Danio rerio: one gene and its partner. The protein of the gene in region 1 purifies or fractionates together with the protein of each later gene. This does not show direct contact. Links are inferred from orthologs where the notes say so. Each region holds a gene or a part of one and is shown in the gene's direction. Other genes may lie near its edges.

Region 1 (3,904 bases):
ATACATTGGCTGAATGTTTGAAACATGTTTAACACATCGTTAGCATGTATTTTTACTTCAGATGTTGACTACTATATATTGCAGAATGTGTTTGGGCACATCCTGACTGGTGGTCTTTTTTTTTTTTTGTCAGGACTATCTGAGGCCCTCTGTGGAGTCCATCCTGCAGAATGGTTTGATCTCCGGTTACGTGGCCCTCGAGCAGAAGAGGCTCCAGGAGAAACAGCGGCGCAGATCAGATGAGGCAGAGCAGCCCAAACATCCAGAGTCACCACTTCTGGCAGAGCTGCGGCTTAAAGAGCAGATTCTCCGAGAGCGAGAGCAGGCCCTCAAAGAGCGAGAGCAGCGGCTAGAGCGTAAGCACACTGTTGTTGGCCTTCTGAAAGCTAAAGGGACAGTTCAAACCATTTTATTTGTGTTATGATTTACTCATCCTCCACTTGTTCCAATCCAACATTTGTTACTTTCCTTTGTTAGATCTTTTCAGGAATGTTTCAAAAAATGCCCATAGACTGTTTTCACACAGTCTCCATTTTAAAAGCAAAATCGAGGCTGCGGTGGGAAGAAACCCAAAAGTATTGCCTGGAGCTGCACAGAGATGTTGTGTAGCTGGCTGTAAATCTTATGAGCGAAGAGAAAGTGACACGAATTTATTATTTCACCCCCTTTCGAGTGACCTGAAGGTCTGTTCTGAATGGATACTAAAAATAAAGTTGATGAACTAATTCTTTCACTGTATCAGACCTATCACAATACTGAATTTTGACAGTGAAAAAATTTTAAGGATTTAAATTTCCAGCTAATAGAAGTGCTAGAATGTTCTTAAACGCAGCTGATTTGCCATTAGTGTTCACTAGTGCTCAACATAAATGACTGTGATTGGCCGTAAAGGTCATCAGTTCACTGCTGTTCACTGATGTTTACCGAGTGCAAACACAAACTGGCAATCGACTAATCTTTACGGCTTTAAGACACTCCAGTGTTTCTATATTTTTGTTTGTGAGATACTTTTACCATCTCACTCGTGGCAAGTTTAGGCGAAGGAATGTTTACCAAGTAAAACTCAGACAGTTTAGTTTATTCTGCTTTAAACCTGCAGGAAAATATCAGGGTTTGCTAAAAGACAGTTTATTTTACCATCAATCAGGGTCAATAATGGTAGCCTAGTACAGATTTCAAAGAAAAAGCCTAATATTAAAAAAGGAAACATAAGCTGGACCACAACAGATCAGCATCAAGTTTTAGATTGTGCCATCTACTATATACAGTAGACTTACAGGTCTGTTATTTTTACTAAGGAAGATACATTATTTGAGCCCCAGAACTATAGAAACTGTATTAGGTTTTAAAAAAATACATAAAAAATACGGCACAGTATCGGGATTGGGTCTGTATCGATCGATACTCAGTTTTAGTATCAGGATCGGATCGTTTCCAAAAAATGGTATCGGTGCATTCCTAGTAGACTGTTAGGTTGGGGTTAGGGTAAGTTGACATGTACTAGCAAAGTTTCTTATATAGTCAGTAAAATCTATGTTGAAGGAGCAGTATCAACAGATATTAATCAGACCGGACCATCAAAATAAATTAAACCATCAAAATAAAGTGTTACCAGTGGACTTTCAATGAAGGAACGGAAATTGGCAGAATCCATAAGTAACTTAATTTCTTTTCAGAAGACAAATAAAAGCCCTGTGGTTTTGGAAAAATTAAAGATTTTCATTTTGAAATGGATCATTATCATTTACTTGCTGTTATCAAATGCTACATCTAAAAATATTAATTGTCCTAATTTACCCACTAATTAACTTTTTTTCATTTCACTCATTAATCAAACCCACAAGAATTTTGATCCTCCTCACACAACTGAAGACTTTTGTTAGATTTGTCTAGATTTGTTGTCTGTCAGGTGAGCAGATTTGAGTTTGACCATATTTGATGTGCTACAGTAAATCCATCGATGTTTAAATGGAATTAATATCCCCAAATAAATCTATTCAAGTGTGTCTTCAGGAGACTTTAAAGGTCCTGTGAAACAAAAAAAGTTTTTTAGTTGTTAGTTAGTTTTAAGGACATCAATTAGCTATTGTTCTCCAAACAGTGACATAGTTTTCCTTTAAAAATGTTAATTTGATATAAACATACAAAGCTTGAAGTGTCACCGCAGCCTAAATGCATCAACGTTTTTATCATGTCACCTCATACTTCAGTTACTCATCAGATCTTCACCAATCAAATGCTCTCTAGTATCTGTCATGCCGGCCTGCCCCCTTCAAGACGCTTCTCGTTTGCTTTTCATTTGATGCGCTTAATCACTCTCACTGGATTAGCTGTGATCAAAACAAAACACCATTGGCCATTATGTCCCACCTTCTCTTCATTTTTCAGTTGAGATTGTCAAACAGTATACAAAAGCCTTTCTCGGCACATTTAATGATTAGGTTCATATATATTTTTGTAAGGTGTTTTGTTGGACTGAACATCAGATTGCATTAAAATAGCTTTATTTGTGTTGGAGTGTTGAAGAACAAAAGTCTAAAGGATTTTTTTGTTTGTTTTTAGGTGAACCTTTAGTTAAGAAATTCTATGCTTTTGGTGTCTAATGGTTTACCTTGTTTTTATTATTTTTTTAATTATTTTTTTATTTTTTGCAGAAAGGGAACAAGAACTGTGTGTCCGAGAACAGCAAACTAATGAAAAGCTGGTCAGGTAAATAATATAAAGCTAGCTTTTGCTAATTTGATCATGTGAGTGTAATAGATATTAGTAGCTAACATTAGTAGTGAGCATCAAAAACCTTGAATACTACTACACGTGTATACGGTGTTGATAAATTCATTATTATGGGTATGTGTGTGTACGACAGAGCCGAGAGCATGTTGAAGGCGTTTAATCTGATCCGACAGCAGAGGGCGCTATCTCTGCTCAGCGCCAGCGACACAGGTATTAATCTTTTGTGTTGTTTATGCATCTCACTGGTTTCCTTCACTGCACAGCTTTCTGTTAATGTATAAATGGCTGATATTTTTATTATGTACACTACTGGTTAGTTTGTAATAGAGATTTTTAGATGAAGTATATGATCTACAAAGACCAAGGCTACAAAAATACAATAAACATCATGAAATATAAGTGTTTAAAGTAGCTGTTTTCCATTTGAAATATTCAATGTCATTTTCTTATTCATGTGATTTGTGAACGTTTTATTTCAGCATCATTACTTCTGTCTTTATCATCACATGATCCTTCAGAAATGGTTGTTGTTGTTGTTGTTGTTTTTAAGGACACTAAAGGTTCATTCGAAAGATTAGATAACAAGAACAGAAATAAATTCTTATCAGACATTTCTGTTTTAGTTGTTCAAGGATGCATTAAACTGACCATTCTCCATTGATTTGAACAACTATTTGGGAGCAATAATATATAGTATGATAAATGAGCGCCTAATAAAATAAGCAAATGCTAAAAGGGAGCTAAGGAGTGAAGTGTGCAGTGGAAAGGCAGTGTGCAATAACCACTAAAAACATGACTCAGCTGAAATTTAAGTAGCCCCTTGAGTCATCATTGTTTGAGCCACAGATATTATAATGAGAGGGAAACAATTAACTATATGTGGTTTTTCGAAAACGAATGAAAATTCTCATTTTGCGTTTCAACAGAGAATGAAGAGAACATCTCTCCAGGGAAAAAGAGGGTTCACTTTGCAGGAGACGGGAAGGAGAACGGCAGACTGATCATGAAACCTCAGGAGCACATCCTTGAGAAGAGACACCAGCTGATGAACAAGCGCATACAGACACTCGGAGAGGAGGAGAAGATGATCCACTCGCCAAAACACAGAGAAATGCAGGGAATCCGCTAGCCTTCAAAGACACTGCCACTGTGGTCAATCACGTCAAGAGGA
Region 2 (4,538 bases), on another chromosome or scaffold:
CAGATTTTGCCCACTATTTATCACGAGAAAGACAAGTAGGAATCATCAATAAGTTCATATCAATAAGCATCATATTTTATTTGCACATTTATTGAATGGAAATGTTTCTGATTCACGCATGCAAATTCATCTTCAGATAGTGTCTTTATAGCAATGTGCGTGCAGTAGATCGCTCAGATTACATTGGGAAAACAGGCGACTGCTGCAAATTGTGCTTTAATGTTTGGCTGGTCAACTGTATGGTATGGAAACCTTATATACCTGCTGAACCCGTCTCATACAGCTCCCATTGCAAGGCTTAGACACTTTGTAGAGAAGAATTTAACACAACTGCCTCTAGGAGTCGCCAATGGAAATAAAACAGACACGCACAAAAAATGTGCGTACGCCAGCCAGAAAGCTGCCGTGAAGCTGCGCACATTCCCACGTTCAGTTCATTGTTAGTAAATCCAAACGTGAGCGATTCTGAGCGTGAAACCTGGCGTACGCAAAGTTTTTGTGCGTACGCAGCGTTGATACATGAGGCCCCAGGTGATTTTACAAGAGAGTTAAAGGTAAAGGCCTACAAGTCTTTGGATGCCTACAACGTTGTTCTGTGTGGTCATGTGCTAGAAATAATGATCCATGATTACCAGATTCAAAACTATGTAGTGCTAAAAACCGAGGTTCTGCCTAGCCAAAGACAAGGAAAGAAGACGGAGCTGTACAGGGCCTGGGTAATCATCAACAAGCAAAACTACTGCATTCTGACAGCGAACTTCACCTGTACGGCAGAGTATGTGAATGCACATGTTTACATTTCATTCTAAGCATTCAATGTCCGCAGTTAAATTCACCATATATAACCGATTTTGCTGAAATCATTGCTGCAATCAAAAACGAGTAATGTGTATAATTCATAATAGCGTGAACTTACCTGATAGGAAATGAGAACTGCAGAGTCACGCATTTTTAATTAGGTCCTCACTCCATTCAGCTCTTATAATGGCTGTTAGCCAATAACATCTGCGGTTAAAAGCAGTGTGGTGTACAGTAAAAGTTACGTTTTCTATTTTTGGACTTACAAATTTGGTATCCTATTGCACAAATCGACATGTTTGCTATTGCAGCTGGTCCTTTTTTGCAACCACTATGCGCGGTTAAACCCTTGTGACGTAAGTTGGTAATTCCCCTATAGTGCATGTGTTTGGACGGTGGGGAAACCAGAGCACCCGGAGGAAACCCACGCCAACATGAGGAGAACATGCAAACTCCACATATAAATGCCAACTGACCCAGCCGAAGCTTGAACCAGCGACCTTCTTGCCGTGAGGTGACACTGAGCCACTGTGTTGTCCCAAATAATAATACAACATATATAAATAAATACAATAACAAAAATGAACAAATAAAATAAATAATAAACAAAGCAAAATAAGTAGCAGGGCAGTTGAAGCCCACAAATTAATTATCTTTTATCTCTCTTATTGTCTTCAAATATATCACAATTTTTTGAATTTTTGGGGAAATCTTGAAACATGTACATTTATGAATATCAAATATCAACAAAATATTTAGAATATAAAATAACCCCAAAAAAACCCCGCGTAAAACCTGCCTGCTTTCACGCGCTTCCTGGACGCAGCTCTCCGATTGGTCAGACACCCGGACGTGCGTCACGGGATAACAACATGTCCGCGTTCATTTGAAACAGAATAGTGTGCTCGGTTTGCTTTTCACCGCATACTTTGATGAGTTTGTACGTTTCTCCAAGTGAGCAGGAGATTGCAGAGGGAGAAGCATCTGTTAAAGGGAAGGACCGCACTCCAGGACTGGAAGATCGACTATTTGTTATTATCAGGTGAATATCGGAGCGGATGTTGCTAACTTAGCTGTAGCGCCGCGGCTAATGCTGACAGCATGACAGACCGGGTTTATCATGAAGTTTTACATATAATTATCATCAGAAAAAGAGCTCATGTACAGTGTTATCTATGTTTTTACTTACTGATTTATTGAAAGGGTTAATCGCACATCATAAATATATCTGCTAACGTTATTTGGCGAACGATAATGAATTGAATTGTCTCTTAATGTCGTATTTTTTAACGTTACTTATGAAATTGCGTGAACAGTTGATGTGCAAGTACATACTGACAGATATTGAGCTAAATTAGGGTTTATATTCAGACTTTTACCATTTCAATATAATTTTCAGAAAAGTATTCTTTGGTAATTCTCAAAAGGGAAATTACATTAGCTGCCAATGTCTATCAGTACATCATTGTTACTGATGTCTTTGCATTGTCTTCTATCCATCAGTGACAGTATATCTTTTTAAATCAGATTCATTTACAACATTTGGTTGAAACATTTAGTTTCAGTTTGCTGTTTTGTAGTTTAACATTAAAACAAACTACCCCCAAAAAAACTGCCTCTCTTCTATAAATGGATGGGGGGCCACCTTTTGCCTGCGGGCCCTAGTTTGGGCATCTCTGATATAGGGACCGTGTTCAAAATCTTCTGAACTGAACAAATGTGCGAGTATAAACTTTACATCAGTCTGATAGATTGACAAAAGTAACCCTAATATATGACAGACATATATGTGACAGATATTTGAGCAGACAGGCTGTGCAGGCATGAATATTTGGCAGTATATTTTTTGTAATGTATTGTAATAATGATTATATATGTACAGTTGTATAAAATATATTATCCCACCTACGAAATGAATAATTTTCCAATCAAGTGTTGTTAAACGGGGTAAAAATCTTTTTAAAACTTTTTTTCCCCTATCATAATAGTTTTAATAGCTAATTTTTTTGTTTTTGTTGTGATGACTGCATATTATTTTAGTAGTTATTTTGTAACAGTATTATTCAGCTTAAACTGCAATTTAAAGGCTTAACTGCGTTAATTAGGTTAACTAGGCAAATCACTGGATAACCATGGTTTATTCTGTAGACCAGTGGTCACCAAACTTGTTCCTGGAGGGCCGGTGTCCTGCAGATTTTACCTCCAACCCTAATCAAACACACCTGAACAAGCTAATCAAGGTCTTACTAGGTATACTTGAATCATCCAGGCAGGTGTGTTGAGGAAGTTGGAGCTAGACCCTGCAGGGACACCGGCCCTCCAGGACCGAGATTGGTGACCCCTGCTGTAGACAATCAAATTTTAGTTTTGTAATGTGGCTAAAGTTTTTACATTAAGAAAAGATGTGTATTTTCAATCCAGCCGAACTAAAAGGAATACGACTTTCTTCAGATGGAAAGTTCTTGCTCTGTTAAACATCACTTGGAAAATGTTTTAAATATATAATAAAATTTTCTTATTGGAACTATAGTCAACATTTGAAGCAGATCAGCAAAGTTAATCCAAGTTGTCCTAAAACAAGGGTAGGTATTGTTTAATCCACATTTTGATAGCTTTATTAAAAAAGGAAACAAAAATGAATATACAGTTGGGGAAAATAAGCATTGAACACATCCTGTTTTTTTCCTAGTAATAATATTTCTAAAGGAGCTGTTGACATGGAATTGAAGTAGATTTTGATTATAACCCAAATAATACAAACATAAAAATTAAACAAAACAATCTGATAAATGAGTTATCTGTAATAACAATGAAATGACACAAGGAGAAAGTGCTGAACTACTGAAATGTATTTAATGCTTTATATAAAGATGTTTTAGTGATGGCAGCTTAAAGACGTCTCTCATATGGAAAATAAAGTCGCATGCATTGCTCAGGTGTGAGTTTTCTCACAGACTTCAACAGAGTGTGAAATTCTTGATGGTTCTGTGGGTCTCGATTGTCAAATCTGACCTTTTTTCTGTATTTTCTATCGGATTCAAGTCAGGTGATTGGCTGGGCCATTCTACAGCTTGATTTTCTTTCTCTGAAAGCATTTGAGAGTTTCTCAGCTGTGTTTTGGATCATTGTCTTGCTGAAATGTCCACCCTGGGGTCCGTTCTTCGTACCTCGCTTAAATGATCTAAGATGATTTGGCAGATCCTGGATCTTTTAATCTTGATATCTGATCTCTCGCTAATTTGGTTCTTCAAACAAGTTCGCGAATCAGATTAGAATGTCTGGATGAACTGATCTGAGATCGCTGCGTGTGTTATGAAGGACAGATCTATCGATCCTCGAAATCATGATCAGCAATGCAACGATTGGCTGACGGCACAGCAGCGTAATGACATCATCTGATTAATATTCAATTATCCATGTGAGCAAAATTACATCAAATTAGCAGTAAACGGTTTGTGAAATATGACACGCAAGGACTTTCCACATTTGTTATGAGCTGCTTTACACTTTCATTTGTCAGGACAAGAGTATTCATCATGTATTTCCATGCAAATCAATGTATTTAGTTCTTCATTTAGAAAAGATTTTCTTTATTATAGTAGCAGTTTTTTTAATCGGTGTAAAGAATAACTGGTTGTTTACAAAAGCATTTTCATATTGGTAAAGGTGTCTGCAACTTTTGTGAAGCATCAAATCACTGGCATATTAACTGTCAAAACATGTTTATGACTGCATTAATG

Evidence for each region.
Region 2: the proteins of nek2 (region 1) and anapc1 purify together in Homo sapiens (affinity purification with mass spectrometry; 3 studies listed by BioGRID and IntAct, with this or other methods). This does not show direct contact. The link is inferred for Danio rerio from reciprocal best matches to the Homo sapiens genes NEK2 and ANAPC1.

Annotation. Positions count from the first base shown.
Region 1 is NC_133195.1:15,127,446-15,131,349, forward strand, and holds part of nek2 (serine/threonine-protein kinase Nek2), read left to right. Parts: intron 1-133; coding exon 134-356; intron 357-2,654; coding exon 2,655-2,709; intron 2,710-2,866; coding exon 2,867-2,943; intron 2,944-3,659; coding exon 3,660-3,862; 3' UTR 3,863-3,904. UniProt on the Homo sapiens protein: Protein kinase which is involved in the control of centrosome separation and bipolar spindle formation in mitotic cells and chromatin condensation in meiotic cells.
Region 2 is NC_133188.1:50,698,347-50,702,884, forward strand, and holds the start of anapc1 (anaphase-promoting complex subunit 1), read left to right. Parts: upstream 1-1,657; 5' UTR 1,658-1,840; intron 1,841-4,538. UniProt on the Homo sapiens protein: Component of the anaphase promoting complex/cyclosome (APC/C), a cell cycle-regulated E3 ubiquitin ligase that controls progression through mitosis and the G1 phase of the cell cycle.